Linked DNA regions of Xenopus tropicalis. The protein of the gene in region 2 interacts with the protein of the main gene of each other region in a biochemical or structural test. Links are inferred from orthologs where the notes say so. Each region holds a gene or a part of one and is shown on either strand. Other genes may lie near its edges.

Evidence for each region.
Region 1: the proteins of smad2 (region 2) and ski form a complex in vitro, tested with the Homo sapiens proteins (4 studies listed by BioGRID). The link is inferred for Xenopus tropicalis from reciprocal best matches to the Homo sapiens genes SMAD2 and SKI.
Region 3: the proteins of smad2 (region 2) and smurf2 form a complex in vitro, tested with the Homo sapiens proteins (3 studies listed by BioGRID and IntAct, with this or other methods). The link is inferred for Xenopus tropicalis from reciprocal best matches to the Homo sapiens genes SMAD2 and SMURF2.
Region 4: the proteins of smad2 (region 2) and erbin form a complex in vitro, tested with the Homo sapiens proteins (2 studies listed by BioGRID). The link is inferred for Xenopus tropicalis from reciprocal best matches to the Homo sapiens genes SMAD2 and ERBIN.
Region 5: the proteins of smad2 (region 2) and zfyve9 are reported together in a solved structure, tested with the Homo sapiens proteins (2 studies listed by BioGRID and IntAct, with this or other methods). The link is inferred for Xenopus tropicalis from reciprocal best matches to the Homo sapiens genes SMAD2 and ZFYVE9.

The regions. Positions count from the first base shown.
Region 1 is NC_030683.2:91,191,918-91,195,955, reverse strand, and holds part of ski (ski oncogene), read left to right. Parts: intron 1-462; coding exon 463-693; intron 694-1,751; coding exon 1,752-1,940; 3' UTR 1,941-4,038. UniProt on the Homo sapiens protein: May play a role in terminal differentiation of skeletal muscle cells but not in the determination of cells to the myogenic lineage. Functions as a repressor of TGF-beta signaling.
Region 2 is NC_030677.2:206,088,241-206,092,993, forward strand, and holds the start of smad2 (mothers against decapentaplegic homolog 2), read left to right. Parts: upstream 1-1,889; 5' UTR 1,890-1,997; exon of another isoform or gene 1,998-2,260; intron 2,261-4,753. UniProt on the Homo sapiens protein: Receptor-regulated SMAD (R-SMAD) that is an intracellular signal transducer and transcriptional modulator activated by TGF-beta (transforming growth factor) and activin type 1 receptor kinases.
Region 3 is NC_030686.2:51,464,839-51,468,876, reverse strand, and holds part of smurf2 (E3 ubiquitin-protein ligase SMURF2), read right to left. Parts: intron 2,924-4,038; coding exon 2,803-2,923; intron 1,424-2,802; coding exon 1,222-1,423; intron 545-1,221; coding exon 469-544; intron 40-468; coding exon 1-39. UniProt on the Homo sapiens protein: E3 ubiquitin-protein ligase which accepts ubiquitin from an E2 ubiquitin-conjugating enzyme in the form of a thioester and then directly transfers the ubiquitin to targeted substrates.
Region 4 is NC_030677.2:187,512,092-187,516,129, forward strand, and holds part of erbin (erbin), read right to left. Parts: intron 2,229-4,038; coding exon 2,082-2,228; intron 1-2,081. UniProt on the Homo sapiens protein: Acts as an adapter for the receptor ERBB2, in epithelia. By binding the unphosphorylated 'Tyr-1248' of receptor ERBB2, it may contribute to stabilize this unphosphorylated state.
Region 5 is NC_030680.2:96,608,038-96,612,075, forward strand, and holds part of zfyve9 (zinc finger FYVE domain-containing protein 9), read left to right. Parts: intron 1-85; coding exon 86-236; intron 237-451; coding exon 452-532; intron 533-1,043; coding exon 1,044-1,206; intron 1,207-2,616; coding exon 2,617-2,722; intron 2,723-4,038. UniProt on the Homo sapiens protein: Early endosomal protein that functions to recruit SMAD2/SMAD3 to intracellular membranes and to the TGF-beta receptor.

The DNA.
Region 1 (4,038 bases), on a different chromosome or scaffold from region 2:
ATGACCTAGTTGCAGGGTGTTGCTTAACAGAAATATGTTGTTGTGCATGCTGGTATCTGAGCGAGAGGGGAAGTGTCACTTCTGGTCCAGTCCTCCACCCCCATATGTCATTCTGTCAATCTTTATAACAACAACAATACCAACTAGGAACTATAGAAGCTTATAATGCATTTGTATTCAACTGCAAACATGTTTTGTATGTGCAGAATTCCTGTCTAACTACTCAATAGCATTAGGGCAAGTTAAAATGTTGGATGCGTTTTCTAAAAGATCTTCCTCTGTGCTTATTTTTTATGGCACTTACCTAAAGATTTATTAACTATGCATATGTATTTTGTGTTTCAATCTAATCTAAAATCTCTCATATAATATTACTGTCAAAGTCAAGCAATCGATTCTTTGCACTGCATTGATCATAGATCAGTACTAATTATATTCTTGATTTTTTTTTTCTTGCTGCAGGAGTTGGAGTTCCTGCGAGTTGCTAAAAAAGAAAAGTTAAGAGAGGCGACTGAGGCAAAGCGCAACTTAAGAAAAGAGATTGAGCGTCTGAGGGCAGAGAATGAAAAGAAAATGAAAGAAGCAAATGAATCTCGGTTACGTCTGAAAAGAGAGCTGGAGCAAGCCAGACAGATTAGGGTGTGTGACAAAGGCTGTGAAGCTGGCAGGATACGGGTCAAATACTCCGCCCAGGTAATCATTTAGTGCTTTAAATAAAACCATGTATCTTACCAACATGCTTAATATCTGTATATTTTTTTTATTCGGTCCACTGTGTTAGTCGGGTTAAATAAAGTGCTCTAATCTTCTAGTTTCAACAGTCTTTCCGCAGCTGGTTTGCTCCTACTGATTTGTTTGTTAATAATTTTCTTGCCATGCTGAAAAAAAATATATGCAGCATTCTTTTAAACAGCTTAGAGACATTGCATTTCTTTGAAAATGCTCAGTCAATAACGGGAAGGGGTGTGCACTCATTCTACTGATGTGAGACATGCCAAACTTAGGAGACCAGAAGCAGGAAATGATGTGGACTTCCTCTTCAGCACTAGGCTGATAAGAGGCATCCAGACTAAACATTACCAGAGTAAGAACTGTATTAAGGGTGTTACCTGCTTACTTCCATCTTTACATAATACAAAGCTGCAGCTGGGTCCTGATCAGGAAACTTGGCTTATCAGAATGTTTTTCTAGCCCAGAGTTACCTTGAAATCTCAGGGTTGCCTGTCTCCCTAATGATGCTGCTTTTAGGTACTCTTGCGTGGCCCACAAGTTTTTCCAAAAACAGTTCACATGCAGTTTAAATGAATCTGCAATCTATTATGCACACATTACGTCTCTCTTGTGCTACATGAGTGTAACGAATACAGCTTGTGCTGAACATCCTTTTTGCCTAATGTCTTTTTGACATTTTGACATATTTTTGTTATTACTTGAGCTAAGTAGAGAATCTAAAGGTCTAAAGAATCAATGTTTCTACTTTTTGAGGACAATGTTTAGGTTGCCATTATACAACCCCTCCCATCATCCTTTTTTTGGATTTGTTTTGTCCTGCAAGAAACAGATTATTGATTACTGATATGACCAGTTTTATTCCAAGATGTGCTTTGCTCTGTACACTCTGCTTTGTGGAATGGGCAGTAAACGACAGATAAAAAAAAAAAAAAAAGGAGTTTGTTTATTACTTCAAAGGTGGAGTATTTGCTTGTGATGAAACCACATGAAATACTGAAAATGTTTTCTTTAAATTTCAGATTGAGGAGCTACAGTCTAAGCTTCAGCATGCAGAAAATGACAGAGAACAGCTACGGACAGATCTAGTACAAGAACGAGAAGCCAGAGAACACTTGGAAAAAGTGGTGAAAGACCTCCAGGAACAGCTCTGGTCGAAGACCAGCCATCTTCCCAGCAGTGAACACACAAGGAAAGACATTGAAAACTAATTCAAAAACTTTTAAGAAAAATAAATACCTTATCTATTCATATACAGAATTTTACGTATATGCACAGGAAAAGGAGGAGAATGCGCGACGTATGCATGAATAGGTGCATGTGTGAGTGTATGGAGCGTGTGCCTTGGGGCACGCTAAAAAGAAAAAAAAAAAACTTACTAGTCAGAGGGAAAATGTTACTCTATACAACAGAAGCACTGAACTATGCCTCTTTTAAATCTACACAGCACAACATCTTACTGTGCCTCAGAGTGTTTATATAGAGTCCTTTTGGCTCTCCAGTGAAACCATTTTTTTTTCTACAAGTCAACTACAAGAGAACAACTGCATCCAGCAAAGCTGCTTGCTTGGAACACTTTGGGATTTACATTTTCTTATAAGCTATTTAATATAAAAAGATATATTAAAATGTTGAGGACCTTCAAAAGACTGTGTATTGAAAATAGAAGAAAAGAAAAAAAAAACTATCAGACAAGATTTTTGTATAATGGACTTAAAAACCTTGATGCACAATTTTATCTGACTTGTTACAAGCTTTGGGGTTTCTTATAGAAGCACCCTCTACTCCTTACTCCCCCCCCACCCCCCTCCCCCCAGTCTCCATACTATTCATGTCGATTGTGCAATGTACTTGTAGCAAGCCATCACTATTATTCCCTATCATTTATGGACTTTTCCATCAAACAAAAAAAAAATCAGAGTGCTCCATCTTGGTTTTTATTTAAATTTTTAAAAATATTTTATATATATATATATAATATATATATATATATATATATATATATATATATATATATATATATATATATATATATATATATATATATATATATATTATATTAATCTCACAAGGACAAATGTTTGTAACTATGTAGGATAACAACTTTCCAGGGCTACAGAGAGAAAAAAAAGAAACTGCTCGGCTTTACTGACCAGTGTTTCATCTCATCATAATAGAAAATGATCTTTGGGCATATGTGTTTAAATGTTCAATCCACCACCATAAAGGGAAAAAGATAAGGACGGATTTTGTAACATTAACATGGACTGTCAAACTTTGTGGAAAGAATGATGCTAGTATTTGGAGATATATATATATATATATATATATATCGGATTTATGGTAAACTGTTTTTTGTTACAAACATATTTGCTGAATTCAGTATTTAATCTATATTTTCACCCCTCTGTGCACTGAGGTATTTGCCATTGGTTATCAGTTTGGCACAATGTAGAATACCAGAATGGGCAGAAAATACACTGGGGGCTAGGAATCGGATATTATATAAATTGCTATATTTTGAGAATGAGGCCTCACCACTAATGAAAACAAATTCCGTGTAACATTTCTTTCCTCTATTTGTAATGTACTTATGTATTCAACTTTAAAGACTGCACTTTTTTGCTCTTGGCCTTTTCAGTCATGCATACGGAGTAAGAGCTATTATTTAATAGTGAAATATACAAATAAAGCACAATAAAATATGCAATAATACCTTCCAATGCCTCCCCATCAACCCATTTGATTCTCTTAACTAATATGTGACAAACTAACCAATACAAGCCATTATATCCTGCAGGGCACCAGCATGTGCACCTTGGGAAGTCATGGTAGAGAAATTCATATAGAACAGTTCACACTTATAGTTTTTGATGTACATCTTTAAACTGTGGGAAAAATGTGGTGCCCTATCCTCAAATTATAGTTATTTAGCAACTTAAATGAACATTGCTACTCTTGACTGAATCCACTCCTCACATTTAATAACTGACTGATTATCAAGGTGGCTGGACAAAGCTGTTGTTGATGGCATTTTCTTTACTATAACATGATAAAGGATTTTAGGAAAAGCAATGTATCTTAATATGCCTTTGGGATGAGTTGCAAGTAACTTGATTTTTATTGGAGTATAATTTTTTGGAGAGGGCTGCAAGGAATCCTGTTGGATAAAATCATGTTTAAAAACCAAAGGTTTGCAAGTTGGCATTGATAAAAACTGGTGAAAATTCAGCCCCGGTGCTAAAACAGTTACAGTTTTTACACTCTTAAAAGGTCTTAGTAAGCTTTGCTTGCATTGGTTGCTTTTTC
Region 2 (4,753 bases):
GAAGTAGTCTGTAAGCTCCTTTGCTTAACAGGCAGCCATGCTAGAGAGCTTAATTGAGGCTGAGCAGAGTTTAAAATGGATTGCAGGGGAGATCATTGTGGTTACTCCGAATTTTTTTCAGTCATGATTTTAACCACCCGAAAACCGTGGTTTCATGAATGGGCCCCTTAGAGACACCCCCAATGTTTTCTTTTTTACAAATTACTAAAACACCCAACAGAACTCATTTGCACATTAACCCCTCAAACTCACATTTTTGCCCCCAAATGGAAGCAACTATAAGTAAGTATACATTTCCACGCTTATATTTGGGGGCAAAGATGTGATTTCTTAAGATTCTATCACATTGTATTTTGTCCCACCAATCCCAATTAAACCCAATGCTTATTACTTTTGGGGGGACTACAAATTCTTTTCCCTTTGTGAAACTATTCCTACCCCATAGCTCAGTTGTAGGCAGGGCTCTAGTAATGCTGCACACATTCTCAGCTCAGTCAATCATAAAAAAGCCCCAAGGAGGGCAAAAATGAGAAGATTTTGTGTAACATGTCCACCCAGGCCTGGACTGGCAATCTGTGGGTTCTGGCAAATGCCCACTTGTACCGCCCAGACCACTCCCTGTTCCACCCAGACCACTCCCTGTTCCACCCAGACCACTCCCTGTTCCACCCAGACCACACCCACTGTTTAATGCCCACACCAAGTATGGCAGATATAGGGACTGTAAGGCACATTTTACATACACGTAAAAGCAAAGTTGCTCCCAATAACCTGGAAATTGAAATGAAATTGGTATTAACCACACAGTTGAAACTATAACTCTCACACCTCAGATACATGTAGGGCTGCCCCTTGTTTTGTTATCATCAAGTACATTATTGTTACAGAAAGTAAAATGAGAAAAAAAGCTTTTTTAAATTAGCATCGCTGTATTTCAGAGCTTTCTGGATAACTGGTTTCTGTATAACAGATCCTTTGCCTTTAATGAAAGGCTTGGACTTACTGAAATCCAGCCAATAGCGTCATAGTGATGTAATAACTCTGCCCTGACATCATAACCAGGCCAGGCATTATTGTGTCTGCCTCTGATGTCATCATACACACCCCCAGCATCACTGCCCCGCCCCTGAATCCATCTGCCCCACCCCCTTTGTTTGGCTTTGCCCACAGCAAAGATGGCAACTCTAGATACAAGTAGTATGGGGCCAAGGGATTGGTCATAAGGCATTTCCCACAACACAACCCCAAACCGCCTGACCAGATACCCAGGCTCTAAGGGCAGCTGCTGTTCAATTGAACCAATTAAATTGAGATGGCATTGTCTGTGGCCCTGCATCCCAGGGGCCCTTGGGGGGAGGAGTAACTACAATTACAAAGAATTTAAAACACTGAATTCTTGTTTGTATCATCAGTATTTACATCATGGACGGGCAATCTGCCACTATTAAGGAAACTACAACTCCCAGAATCCTGCACAACCCCACCTTTTATCTAAGTTCCAATTAAGTTAAGAGGGCAGCAAACTGGCTTCATATTTCTTTATAGTAAACGAAAATATTAAACTCTATATGTAAAAGTTTCCACACCACAGTCATTTATATTCTACTAAACAGCTTCCCCGTTTCTGCGCAGGCGCACTCTTCCGCTTTCGATCGTCCCTCACCTGTCAATCACTCAGAAACCTTGAGAAGCCACGCCAAACCCGTCGCGCCGGAGTGGGCCGGCCCTCTCACTTCTCGCCACACCTTCAGATCTATACGCGACACACGTCACTCGGCCCAGTGGACGCCTTCAGCGAACGTAGATTGGGCGGAGCTCCAGTCCTATCAAATATAATTTAATAAAAATGACGTGAAGGGGGGGTGGTTTGAGGTGGAAGCGATTGACAGCACGTTGCTCCAATCAGCGTTCGCTTTATGCCTCCGGCCGCCAATAGGCCGTAGTGATTGACAAAGGAGGGCGGAGCCAGCGGCTGTGGCGAGGCTGAGGTTGGCCGGGTGAGAGAGCGGCGCGGTTCGGTGTGTGAGGAGCGGTGTGTGGGGGAGAGAAGGGGGACTAAGGATAACAATAATATATAGAGAAAGGGGAACAGGAACCCGGTGCCCGCTGGGGCTTTGGGGGCCGAGGCGCTAAGGGCCCGTCTGTATGAGCGGGGGCTTCCTCTGCCGCCATCTTGGTTCGGGGTCGTTGTTGCGTATTTCCCCCTCCTCCCTCCTGTCCAGTTAGGCCTGACCGGGCCGGGGAGCCGCCACATCTTCAGGTAATTGCACTTGCCGGCCTTTCGGCCTCTGTAGCGGGCGCTGAGCATGCTGGGAGTCGTAGTTCCACGATTGCTGGAGGCGGACGCGCTAGGGAGCTATTGGCCGGTCTGTAGTTTAAACGGAGAATAAACCCGAATGATAACTGTTCATTACTGTATAGATCAATAACCTCTGTCTTATAGCTGCTGGAGGATTATGGGAGTTGTAGTTCTGTAACAGCTGGCTGGATCCCTGGGAACATATGCTGCTGGGCTTCTGATCCCTATTCACCCATTTTCTCATATTTATGGGACTTTCTAAGTGCTCAGTTGTCAGTTCTTTCAGAATTTCTATAGTCAGAAATCAATGTCCTGTGTCTGTTCCATGGTCTGCACTTGGGCCTGGCCTTCTGATTGGCTGAGCCTGCTGGAGTTTGGTGCTGTTAAAAGTGGATCTACCCCCCCCAAATTCTAAGCAACTTTCCATTATACATTATTCATACTTTATTATTATAGAAACATGGTCTGTGCTTTGGTGTTCCTTCCAGCCTTGCGCGGCTGCCTTCTGCTGTGTTGCTTCGAAAGTCAGAACCTGCAGTGCAGAAGGGGGCAGACAAGTGCTGCGTTGAGTTGCAATTCTTCTTACAACTTTATGGGTGAAGACACACAGAGCTACTTAGTAGCAGCTACTTGTCACAGCTACTAAAGGCCAGAAAATCCCCTGCCATAGACAATACTGAGAATTGCCTCTGCTAAACCACACGTAGAGACAATTATCAGTAAATGATCAGCATTGTCTATTTTAGTAGCCGCAACAAGTAGCTGCTACTAGTAGCTCTGTGTGTCTTCAGCCTAAATCTATTGCGTTCCGTAATGACTGTACATTGGAGAGTTTTCTTTCTTTCTGTCTATTCTTTCTTAAGGCGAAGACACACAGAGCTACTTAGTAGCAGCTACTTGTCACGGCTGCTAACAGCCAGAAAATCCTCTGCCATAGACAATACTGAGAATTGCCTCTGCTAAACCACACGTAGAGACAATTATCAGTAAATGATCAGCATTGTCTATTTTAGTAGCCGCAACAAGTAGCTGCTACTAGTAGCTCTGTGTGTCTTCAGCCTAAATCTATTGCGTTCCGTAATGACTGTACATTGGAGAGTTTTCTTTCTTTCTGTCTATTCTTTCTTAAGGCGAAGACACACAGAGCTACTTAGTAGCAGCTACTTGTCACAGCTACAAAACGCCAGAAAATCCCCTGCCATAGACAATACTGAGAATTGCCTCTGCTAAACACACGTAGAGATAATTATCAGTAAATGATCAGCATTGTCTATTTTAGTAGCCGCAACAAGTAGCTGCTACTAGTAGCTCTGTGTGTCTTCACCCTAAATCTATTGCATTCTGTAATGACTGTACATTGAAGAGTTTTCTTTCTTTGTGTCTATTCTTTCTAAAGGTCCCCATACACTGGCAGATCTGCTCGCGTGGTGATGTCGCCAAGCGAGCGGATCTTCTCCCGATATCCCCACCTACAGGTGGGCGATATCGGGAGAATCCAGGCCCTGGGGCCAAATGATCAAATTTTAATGATGGGTATAGGTAAAGTCGATCTGGAGACCGCATCAACGAGCTGATGTGGTCCCCGATCCGACTAGATTTTCTAACCTGCCCGATTTCAGGCCAGATATTGGTCGGGCAGGCCTGTCCGAAGTGCCCATACACGGGCCGATTAGCTGCCGAATCGGTCTAAGGGACTGATATCAGCAGCTACTATCGGTCCGTGTATGGGGGCCTTAAAGACGAAGACACAAGGAGCTACTCAATAGCAGCTACTTGTCATGGCTACTAAACACCAGAAAATCCCCTGCCATAGACAATACTGAGAATTGCCTCTGCTAAAACACACGTAAAGACAATTATCAGTAAATGATCAGCATTGTCTATTTTAGTATCCGTGACAAGTAGCTGCTACTAGTAGCTCTATGTGTCTTCCCCCTTATGCTGCAGTTAGTCTGTTTATCATGCAATATAGCAGTTGTGTGATTAATGTCCACACATGGAATGAAAGAATCTAACCAAGATTTGATACATGTTGGCTATTTAAAAACCAAATATACATTGTTTCTTGGGTAACCACTATGATTCTGCTGCTTTTTAGACCAATGCTCATTAGAGAGGTGACATGCAGAATGGCTGCTTTTCCACTGTCTTAAATACATTTCCAGCAGATATGGCGCATAGGCTGTCAGCCTTAAGTGCACCCCAAAACTCTATACTCTATATCCCTTTACTCTAGGGATCAGGGCTATTGAGTTTAAATTGTGGGAATGATGCAGAACAGTTGCAGAGAATGACTGGCCTATTGACTTGCAATGACAGGAAAGTTACATACTTAGCTGACAAGAAATAGGTTTATTTACCCTTTATAAAGCCTGTATCTATGACACTTTCAGTAGCATGTACATATACTGAGTTGCTGGGGGGGGGGGGGGGGAACAGCAGTGGTCAAAACAC
Region 3 (4,038 bases), on a different chromosome or scaffold from region 2:
TCGTAGGTCTCGTACGGCGGGATGTCTATGCGGTTAAAGCTGAGAGAGAGAGAGAGGGGGAAAGGTTATGGGATGTCTGCCCGGGTCCTGCCCCTTCTACCAGCAAGAGAGGGGCAAAAGAACAAGTAAACATGGGGGGGGGGGTAAGAAGGCTTGGGGGGGGGGTAAGAAGGCTTGGGGGGGGGGTAAGAAGGCTTGGGGGGGGGTAAGAAGGCTTGGGGGGGTAAGAAGGCTTGGAGGGGGGTAAGAAGGCTTGGGGGGGTAAGAAGGCTTGGGGGGGGTAAGAAGGCTTGGGGGGGGTAAGAAGGCTTGGGGGGGGTAAGAAGGCTTGGGGGGGTAAGAAGGCTTGGGGGGGGTAAGAAGGCTTGGGGGGGGTAAGAAGGCTTGGAGGGGGTAAGAAGGCTTGGAGGGGGGGTAAGAAGGCTTGGAGGGGGGTAAGAAGGCTTGGAGGGGGGTAAGAAGGCTTACCAGGTATGAGCCTTGGGTAGGTTGTTAGTGCTGGCGTCGATCTGGTGAATGGTGAAAAGTCTCGGCCCCGCAGCACCTGCCCGTAACAAGGGAGAATTAGATCAGCCAATACCAGCACAGGATTCCCACAATACCCTGCAGTGAGAGGCCCCGCCCACAGAAACTCAGGCACTCCATGGAACTCGCCCCCTCTGCCCCCGGCACTCCATGGAACTCGCCCCCTCTGCCCCCGGCACTCCATGGAACTCGCCCCCTCTGCCCCCGGCACTCCATGGAACTCGCCCCCTCTGCCCCCGGCACTCCATGGAACTCGCCCCCTCTGCCCCCGGCACTCCATGGAACTCGCCCCCTCTGCCCCCGGCACTCCATGGAACTCGCCCCCTCTGCCCCCGGCACTCCATGGAACTCGCCCCCTCTGCCCCTGGCACTCCATGGAACTCGCCCCCTCTGCCCCCGGCACTCCATGGAACTCGCCCCCTCTGCCCCCGGCACTCCATGGAACTCGCCCCCTCTGCCCCCGGCACTCCATGGAACTCGCCCCCTCTGCCCCCGGCACTCCATGGAACTCGCCCCCTCTGCCCCCGGCACTCCATGGAACTCGCCCCCTCTGCCCCCGGCACTCCATGGAACTCGCCCCCTCTGCCCCCGGCACTCCATGGAACTCGCCCCCTCTGCCCCCGGCACTCCATGGAACTCGCCCCCAAATGAAATGGGGAGGAGCTTATTTGGGGTATATTTGGGCCCAGTACCTACCCTGTAATGCCTTAAAGCCCTGGAGGGGGACGCGGGAGGAGCCGGTGACAAACTGCAGCAGCCGGGCCCTTCGCTCTTCATCAAACGACTCCACCGCTTTCCAGAACCATTTCACGATGTTACTGTCAGCCGTGCAGTGTTTTAGCCGCGTGTTCGACTTCCAGTCATTCACATCGATCTTCCCCAGGCCGCAGATAATCAGCTGCAACAACAACACGGGGATGAGTTTGTCTGAAGCACCACAGGGGGTAAGTTACTCTCGGCCCGGCGCATTTGTATAGCAGGAAAAGAACAAGAGCATAACAAAGGGAAAGGTCCAGGGCCGGATGGGATTCATCCCAGGGTATTAATTGGGCTCAGCGCTGTGATTGCCAAACCTCTTCCCTTAATTTCCCAGGATTCCCTGAGGTCGGGCATGGTGCCGAGAGACTGGCCAATTGCTAATGTGGTGCCGTTATTTAAACAGCGATCCCGCTCTCAGCCTGAAAACTATAGGCCTGTTAGTCTGACATCAGTAGTAGGAAAGCTTCTGGAAGGGGTAATAAGGGATAGGATAGTTGAATACATTGCAGTTCACAATACTATTAGTTTGTGCCACAGGGGTTTATGGGTAACAGATCTGACTCATTTAGTCGCCTTTATGAGGAGGTGAGTAGGAACCTTGATGCTGGAATGGCAGTGGATGGGATCTACTTGGACTTTGCTAAAGCGTTTGATACAGTACCTCACAGAGGGTTAATGATCAAATTAAGGAATATTGGCCTAGAACATAATATTTGTAATTGGATAGAGAACTGGCTGAAGGATAGAGTACAAAGAGTGGGGGGAAATGGAACAGTTTCTAATTGGGCCAGTGTGGTTAGTGGGTACCGCAAGGGTCAGTCCTTGGGCCAGTGTGGTTAGTGGGTACCGCAGGGGTCAGTCCTTGGACCAGTGTGGTTAGTGGGTACCGCAGGGGTCAGTCCTTGGACCAGTGTGGTTAGTGGGTACCGCAGGGGTCAGTCCTTGGGCCAGTGTGGTTAGTGGGTACCGCAGGGGTCAGTCCTTGGGCCAGTGTGGTTAGTGGGTACCGCAGGGGTCAGTCCTTGGACCAGTGTGGTTAGTGGGTACCGCAGGGGTCAGTCCTTGGGCCAGTGTGGTTAGTGGGTACCGCAGGGGTCAGTCCTTGGACCAGTGTGGTTAGTGGGTACCGCAGGGGTCAGTCCTTGGGCCAGTGTGGTTAGTGGGTACCGCAGGGGTCAGTCCTTGGGCCTTTGCTTGTTTATTAATGCCCTGGGGGGGGGGGCACAGACGGTACTGTTGTATTTTTGCTGGCGACACTAAATTGGGCAGAACTATAAGTTCCATGCAGGGTGCGGAGATTATAAAAGACCCCCAGAAACACACCTTTCATACAAACACCGTATGGGAACTTACTACTGAGAAAACATTTATGGTTTTAGTTAATGAGGGCAAGTTGTAGTTTAACTAAGGGGGAGTTTTCTGGCCGGGGGGGTTGGTATTTGTGGCACCCAGAGCCCCCCCAGGCTGTGTGTATGGGCCTGAGGCACCCACTCCCGGGCTAATGGCCGACTCACTCACCTCTAGTTCCTTTTCATCAAATGCTTTCAGCAAGTGCTGGGGAATCACCTCGTTAAACCCCTTCTGCAGAGCCAGAAACTGCGCCTCGATCCCCCGCAGGAACCGCCAGTTCACATACAGCCTGAAACGAAGGGTTAATATTGTCTGTAGCAGTATGGCAGCACTCCAGATATGGCACAGAGGCTAGAAGGTTGGCACTGAGGCTATAAGATACGGCACTGAGGCTATAAGATACGGCACTGAGGCTATAAGATACGGCACTGAGGCTATAAGATCTGGCACTGAGGCTATAAGATCTGGCACTGAGGCTATAAGATCTGGCACTGAGGCTATAAGATCTGGCACTGAGGCTATAAGATCTGGCACTGAGGCTATAAGATACGGCACTGAGGCTATAAGATACGGCACTGTGGCTATAAGACTGGCACTGAGGCTATAAGACTGGCACTGAGGCTATAAGATCTGGCACTGAGGCTATAAGATCTGGCACTGAGGCTATAAGATACGGCACTGAGGCTATAAGATCTGGCACTGAGGCTATAAGATACGGCACTGAGGCTATAAGATCTGGCACTGAGGCTATAAGATACGGCACTGAGGCTATAAGACTGGCACTGAGGCTATAAGATCTGGCACTGAGGCTATAAGATCTGGCACTGAGGCTATAAGATACGGCACTGAGGCTATAAGACTGGCACTGAGGCTATAAGATACGGCACTGAGGCTATAAGATACGGCACTGAGGCTATAAGACTGGCACTGAGGCTATAAGACTGGCACTGAGGCTATAAGGTTGGCACTGAGGCTATAAGGTTGGCACTGAGGCTATAAGGTTGGCACTGAGGCTATAAGACTGGCACTGAGGCTATAAGACTGGCACTGAGGCTATAAGATCTGGCACTGAGGCTATAAGACTGGCACTGAGGCTATAAGATCTGGCACTGAGGCTATAAGACTGGCACTGAGGCTATAAGACTGGCACTGAGGCTATAAGATACGGCACTGAGGCTATAAGATACGGCACTGAGGCTATAAGGTTGGCATTGAGGCTATAAGATACGGCACTGTGGCTATAAGATCTGGCACTGAGGCTATAAGGTTGGCACTGAGGCTATAAGATCTGGCACTGAGGCTATAAGATCTGGCACTGAGGCTATAAGACTGGCACTGAGGCTATAAGACTGGCACTGAGGCTATAAGACTGGCACTGAGGCTATAAGATCTGGCACTGAGGCT
Region 4 (4,038 bases), about 19 Mb from region 2:
CCATCATTTCCAGCAGTATCTTCAAGAGCAAATTCCTTAAAGTAACAGTAACACCAAAAAATTAAAGTGTTTCAAAGTATCAAATATATCATGTACTATTGCCCTGCATTGGTAAAAGTTGTGTGTTTGTTTCGGAAACACTACTATAGTTTATATAAACAAAGCTGCTGTGCAGCCATGGAGAGAGGCAGCTATTCAAATTGAAAAAAGTAGAAAAGGCACAGGTTACATAGCAGATAAGAGATAATCTCTGTAGAATAATGTGAATCTACAAGCTTATCAGTTATCTGCTATGTAACCTCTGCCTTTTCTACTTTTTTTCAATTTGAATAGCTGCACACAACATTAACCAGTGAAGGGCAAAAGTACACTATATATTAAAGTGATACTGACAAAAAATTAAGATTGAAAATTAGGGATTGCTGGTCTCTGCACTGAGTGCCGGATCTAAGGTCTTCTTACCATTGCTCCCTACATTGTGCCTCTGAATGGCATGCACAGTGGGGCACCAGTGTGTGGCACAGTCAAACTAACCAGCAGCCACTGAGACACAACAAAATCCTTATATATTTCCTAATTAAAAAAAATAGGCAAAACGTATGTTCAGCACAAGCCCTATTCACTGAACACATGTTGAAAAAGGGTATACTGTCCCTTTAAGGTCAGATTGATTGGACCAATCCTTACCGGTAATATATGGGCCCAGTCACAGAAGCAGACATAAGATAAATCTCAGTTAAAGGCAAACTCCACTCTACAGCAATTTTTAATAGTATGTGCTGACACACAAATCAAGGACACATACAGGCTAGGTTACACCAGCCAATGAATGGATGGAGAGGTGTGGCTTATATTCCCACATTTCTTCCTGTTACAGTTAGAACCTGGATTTTCCCTGATCAGTGGGTGATGCAAAACCATCACAAAAATAGTTTCTCAATACTAATACGTACAGGGCTGTATTTAGGTCCCGTGCCACCCTAAAAAGCACCCTTAGCTTGCAGAAGTGACATGAATTTTGCCCCTCACTCTCTACCCTCTGCACCTCACCCCTCCAGCTCCACCACTGGATTTGATCAGGTATAATCTGGCAGCTGCTTTTAAAATGTTAACAAATATATGGGCCCCTGAGGTCTACCCACTAAAGCTGCCACCCTAGTTAAAGGTCCCTGGGTGCCTATATATAAATACAGCGGAGGACAAGGAGACAAGAAATCCTGTATTTCTTTTGATAGAGGACTCAGTGCAGCGTTTCTGTGAGCGCTTATGGCTGTATTTATATAGACCTTTCTGATAAAGCTTACTTAGTTTTTACCTTTCTTCTCCTTTACAATTAGTAATTTGTTTAGACAACACTTTTATGGAAATCCAGCAGTCACTCTGATCCTTAAATAGTTATACCCTAGTTTTGCACCACAAACTGCCCCATCTTAGAGGAACATTTGGATTTGTAGAAAAGATAGTATTTTTGTTAGTAACCAAAACCTAGAAGAGTTAGAATCTAAACCAGTCATAGCTGTAGGATAAGTATTTGGGTTGTAATTAAACTTTTAGAAACAGTTAGTGAATTTAGTTTAAAAGGGATCAGTAATGAAACATACATCATGTTAGTAGTTAGAGTACAATGAGCAAGGCATATTCTCCTGGCAGTCCCACAAGTCTCATTAAAGCTTGTTACCTGTCCGCCATGTCACTGAAGGACTGAAGAACATTCTGTATTTCAGAAGAAGCACTATCCTTGAAATGGACCCCAAACACTAGTGCTGCCCACTGCAATGATAATAATGTTTGGGTCGGAAGCCCATATGGAAGATATGGGAAGTTTATAGAACAAATAGTCCATAAGTCATTAAACTAATAGTGCAGGTAATAGATGAATAATTACTAAGGCATCACTGGTGTATCCCAGTAATGGGTGGGATGGGGAATGCCTCTTCAAGCCATTAGATAAGCCAGTGTTCATGGTTAGGAAATATGACTTGCTACATGACATATATGTGTTACTGAGCCCAATATGGTGCATTATCCTGGCACATTATAAATTTGCAGTCCTACAAAAGCTACTGTAAGTTGTTACTCACACGTAGTATGTGCCCACCAGAAGCTCTTCTGTCAGGAGCAACACTCAAGGCAACACTGCCCTGGCTGCCATGCAGATCTCTACAGCTGCCATAGAGAGAGCTGCTAGTTGCACTGAAAGTGGAATTAAAGGACCTAGACAGCATGCTCTGAATAAAGGGACAGATGGAACAACATGGGTTAGTGAGGCATGCATTAACAACACAACAGGTTATTACTGAAGCACTCGGACAGGCAAGCAGGTATGGCATGCAGATGCCCAGGCACCCAAGCACACACACAGGTAACCCAAGCACACAGGCGCGCACACAGGTACCCAAGCACACAGGCGTGTGCGCACACACACACAGGTACCCAAACACACAGGCACGTGCGCGCACACACACACTCACACACAGGTACCCAAGCACACAGGCGCACACACACAGGTACCCAAGCACACAGGCGCACACACCCAGGTACCCAAGCACACAGGCGCACACACCCAGGTACCCAAGCACACAGGAGCACACACACAGGTACCCAAGCACACAGGCGCACACACACAGGTACCCAAGCACACAGGCGCACACACACAGGTACCCAAGCACACAGGTAACCCAAGCACACAGGTACCCAAGCACACAGGTACCCAAGCACACAGGTACCCAAGCACACAGGTACCCAAGCACACAGGTACCCAAGCACACAGGTACCCAAGCACACAGGTACCCAAGCACACAGGTAACCAAGCACACAGGTAACCAAAGCACACAGGTAACCAAAGCACACAGGTAACCCAAACACACAGGCACACACAGGTACCCAAGCACACACACACACAGGTACCCAAGCACACAGGTAACCCAAGCACACACACACACACAGGCACCCAAGCACACAGGCGCACACACAGGTACCCAAAAACACAGGTAACCCAGGCACCAAGGCACACAGGTACACAGAAGCAGTGCAGGTGTCAGAGGAGATACACAGGTAGCTTGTACACACAGTGATACACCAAACATAGATGGCTTGTGTACAGAGATACACCACATAGCACCTTTCCTACAGTTTCCAGATATTCAGGTGGCAGATTCAGGTTGGTTATTGCTGCCGTGGCCGGTAGTGTGCATTACTGTACAGCAAGGTTTGCTTATGCTTGAACGCTAGAAGCCATTAGAACATGCAACCTTCCCAGCTCACTATGCATTACAGCCATTGTAGGTGTGAGAGCTGTTATATCCAAAGCTGGCATGCAATTCTATAGACCTTATTCTCATATATCTCTCATTATGACTTACATATGAGTATGTATGAATATACATAACATAACATACATAATAGGGAAATGATTTAAACACAATGTTTTCTCCCTTTGTATAATTCATTTCTCTTTATTCAACTGAAAGAGTAATTAAGGAGGTGGAGCTAGTATTAGAATGTCATACGTTTACACTGGGAAAGGCAGTAAGTTGTTACCCTCTCCTGCAAAATTGTTCTATAATGGAGCAAATGGAAAAAATGGTTTATGGAAGAACAATCTACCTTTTATCAGCTTGGCTGCAGCCTGGGGTAGCTGAATGTCTAAAGGGGGCCATACATGGGCTGGTAAAAGCTTCTGCTGGACCGAGCTGGCAGCTTACTGGCCTGTGTATTGGGGCCCTGACTGATATCTGGTTGAAAATTAGCCAGATATCGATTGGGCAGGTATAAAAATCCCTGTAAGGAGTGCATGGAATCACTGATATGATTCTTGTCCCAACGGCCTACATCCTCTCAATGTGATTTGATTATCTGGCCCGAGGGCCAAATGACTGGATTAATCCAATATCACCCACCTTAAAGGTGTGCACAATGGGGAAAGATCCACTCATTAAATACTGAGCTTATAGAAATGAATTACAGGTATCGGACCCCTTATCCGGAAACCCATTATCCAGAATCGTCCGAATTATGGGAAGGCAATCTCCCATAGAC
Region 5 (4,038 bases), on a different chromosome or scaffold from region 2:
GTTTCTGTATGCTTAGTTATTTGCACTAGACAGAAACTGTTTTTATGATGATATGTGAGGGCACTTATGTCATTGTTACCCACAGATGATGAAAGCGATGAACAAATCCAATGAGCATGTGCTTGCCATAGGTGCATGCTTCAATCAGATGGCTGACTCTCACCTTGTGTGTGTGCAGAATGATGATGGCAATTACCAGACCCAGGCCATTAGTATCCACAAACAGCCACGTAAAGGTGAGAAGGATGTAACATACTCACCTGGCATTGCCAGGAAAGTTATTAACTTACATATTTTATTTGTTTGGATTCTGTCGCAATATAATTTTTACACAGAATACAAGTTTGAGGAACTCAATATAATGGGATGATTCCTCCTTAATGTTGTCCGTCTATGTTAACACCCTCTAAAAGCAACACATTAACCATTGAGTCTTCTTTTGTAATTTTAGTGACTGGGGCCAGCTTTTTTGTCTTCAGTGGGGCTCTAAAGTCTTCTTCCGGCTACCTGGCCAAATCCAGCATTGTAGAAGGTAAAATATAAAAACCTAAGCTTTGTCACATTTACCAAGGTCTGGAAAATTCTTACTGTGTGGCATTATACATTAGATAGTTGTATTAGCTAAGCTGAAATTATGGATGCACCAAGATTTAGCCAGTATGCATCACTGTTTGCATAATTAAGGATATGGTAAAATCCTTAGTGCTTTGGTCAAACCCTTAAAGTCATATGAATTTAAAGTTCTGGCTGAACTGTTGGCTGTTCACAGATGATGCTTATTTTTTCAGATTCAAAAATTCAAGTTAGGGTCCCTATTTGGTTTGTTTTTCAGACAAATGTTTTGTGGAGGATTTGGCCAAATCCAAAAAATTAGGGATTTGGTGCATTCCTGTTGAGACTTGATTTAAAGGTTTATTGGCAGAAGAGTTTAAATTTTTACATTAATAATACTTTATTACAAACATGGATATTCAAAAAATATCCATGTTTTAAAAATGTGAATGTATCTTCCACCACATGATGCAAGCCCTTCTGTGTCCCAGATGGGGTAATGGTTCAGATCACCGCAGAGAGCATGGATGCCCTCAGACAGTCCCTTAGGGAGATGAAGGACTTCACCATTACATGTGGAAAAGCTGATGCAGAGGAGACACAGGAGCATGTCTATGTCCAGTGGGTGGAGGATGACAAGAATTTCAACAAAGGGTAAGAAATCTTTGAACCCCATCAATGACTCACTTGGTTTCCCACTGATCTCAGAGGGTGTCCACTCGGCATTTGCACAATCCTTTTAGGAAAAGGGTTTATCAGAGAATGCATTGATTGTATCCCCCAAACATTGTAGGTCTCTATAAAAATACATTGCATAAACAAGCTCATATGTAAAACCCTGCTTCATCTAAATAAACCAGTTTTAGAAAATTATACTTTTTTAGTAGTATGTGCTATTGGGTAATCCTAAATAGATTAAGGGCCACCTCCTAGGATCATAGGATTCACAGCGCACACAAACAAGCCAAGGCACACATACATGCTAGGCCACATCAGCCAGTTAATGAACAGAGTTCTTCCATTTGCTTCCACACTTCTTCCTGTTACATTTAGAGCTGCATTATTTCTTTGTCATGTGATCACTGAGGGAGAACAAAGCCCATTACTAAATGGCGGATCAAGGGAAAGGATGTAAAAGGGCAATATTTACTGATAAATATATTCCAGTTTGGCGAGATTCTTTAATAGTTTATATTATGTTAAGTGACCTATGTATTGGTTAAGTATTCCTTTAAGTATTGTATAGTTTTCCTTTAAGGTGGCCATACACAGGGTTTCATATAGGCCTGCTAACCGATACCTGGCTCGAAATTGGCCAGCTGTTGATCATGCAGAGTTAAAATTTATTGGGAATTAAATCCTGTTGGGGTGAGGAGTGCATCAGCTTGTTGATGAGGTCCTTGCCTAATGGCCTGCACCTCTGTCAATGTAATCCGATCGTTTTGCTCGAGGGTCAGTGATTGCATCAAGCAGATATTGCCCACCTCAAGGTGAGAATATAAGGGACCTTGCCAAACAAGAGGATCTTTCAGTGTATGGCCAGCTTAAGGTGCCTTTAAGTTGGGTGCCAAAAGTGTACTGCATACCCATGATGGTATGTCCAATTAATAATAGGCAGACTTGTGCTTGCATCTCTTGAATGAAATGCTCCTTTTATACAGGTACAAATTCTGGAGTGCCATGTCTGGCACTGAAATAGAAATAGCTTAAAGTATTTCTAGCTTGTTTGTTAGTAGATGCATTATTTAACATTTATCCACTTTGAACCTCATCGTAATAAGTAGCAATAAGCAGTATATATCACTGGAATATCCTACAATTTAGAATCTCTAAATACAGCATGAATTTTATGAGTATTGCCAGAAGAGGAATGGCTAGTAGTTTTATGGCTACAGTATACTGCCCTAGGAGAGTCTTTACTCTGATGTGTTTTGTTGAAGGGAGGCTTCTTCATATTCATTCCACTTTAATTATATTGCAATAAAGTGTTTGTATTTAAACAGAATAAGTCAACTGAATCAAACTCTAACCCTTTTTTCACCTGTGTCCTTTATTCTGGTGCAGCGTTTTTAGTCCGATTGATGGCAAATCAATGGAGTCTGTGACCAGTGTCAAGATTTTTCATGGCTCAGAATACAAAGCTAGTGGTAAAATCATTCGCTGGACAGAGGTATGCAGTGAAAATGGATGATGCTAAAGGAAATGCATATATATGCTCAATTTGGAGTGTTCAGGAAACTGCAGTTTGACAGCAATTGACAGCAATTTGGTACTCTCCTTTAAACCTCCTGGATCAGGCATTCCAAACCCTGGTTGGCTAGGTTGGAAAAGTTGTTTATGACAGGAGATACAGTGGAGGAAATAATTATTTGACCCCTCACTGATTTTGTAAGTTTGTCCAATGACAAAGAAATGAAAAGTCTCAGAACAGTATCATTTTACTGGTAGGTTTATTTTAACAGTGGCAGATAGCACATCAAAAGGAAAATCGAAAAAATAACTTTAAATAAAAGATAGCAACTGATTTGCATTTCATTGAGTGAAATAAGTTTTTGAACCCCTACCAACCATTAAGAGTTCTGGCTCCCACAGAGTGGTTAGACACTTCTACTCAATTAGTCAACCTCATTAAGGACACCTGTCTTAACTAGTCACCTGTATAAAAGACACCTGTCCACAGAATCAATCAATCAAGCAGACTCCAAACTCTCCAACATGGGAAAGACCAAAGAGCTGTCCAAGGATGTCAGAGACAAAATTGTAGACCTGCACAAGGCTGGAATGGGCTACAAAACCATTAGCAAGAAGCTGGGAGAGAAGGTGACAACTGTTGGTGCGATTGTTCGAAAATGGAAGGAGCACAAAATGACCATCAATCGACCTCGCTCTGGGGCTCCACGCAAGATCTCACCTCGTGGGGTGTCAATGATTCTGAGAAAGGTGAAAAAGCATCCTAGAACTACACGGGAGGAGTTAGTTAATGACCTCAAATTAGCAGGGACCACAGTCACCAAGAAAACCATTGGAAACACATTACACCGCAATGGATTAAAATCCTGCAGGGCTCGCAAGGTCCCCCTGCTCAAGAAGGCACATGTGCAGGCCCGTCTGAAGTTTGCCAATGAACACCTGAATGATACTGTGAGTGACTGGGAGAAGGTGCTGTGGTCTGATGAGACCAAAATAGCTCTTTGGCATTAACTCAACTCGCTGTGTTTGGAGGAAGAAAAATGCTGCCTATGACCCCCAAAACACCGTCCCCACCGTCAAGCATGGGGGTGGAAACATTTTGCTTTGGGGGTGTTTTTCTGCTAAGGGCACAGGACAACTTATTCGCATTAACGGGAAAATGGACGGAGCCATGTATCGTGAAATCCTGAACGACAACCTCCTTCCCTCTGCCAGGAAACTGAAAATGGGTCGTGGATGGGTGTTCCAGCACGACAATGACCCAAAACATACAGCAAAGGCAACAAAGGAGTGGCT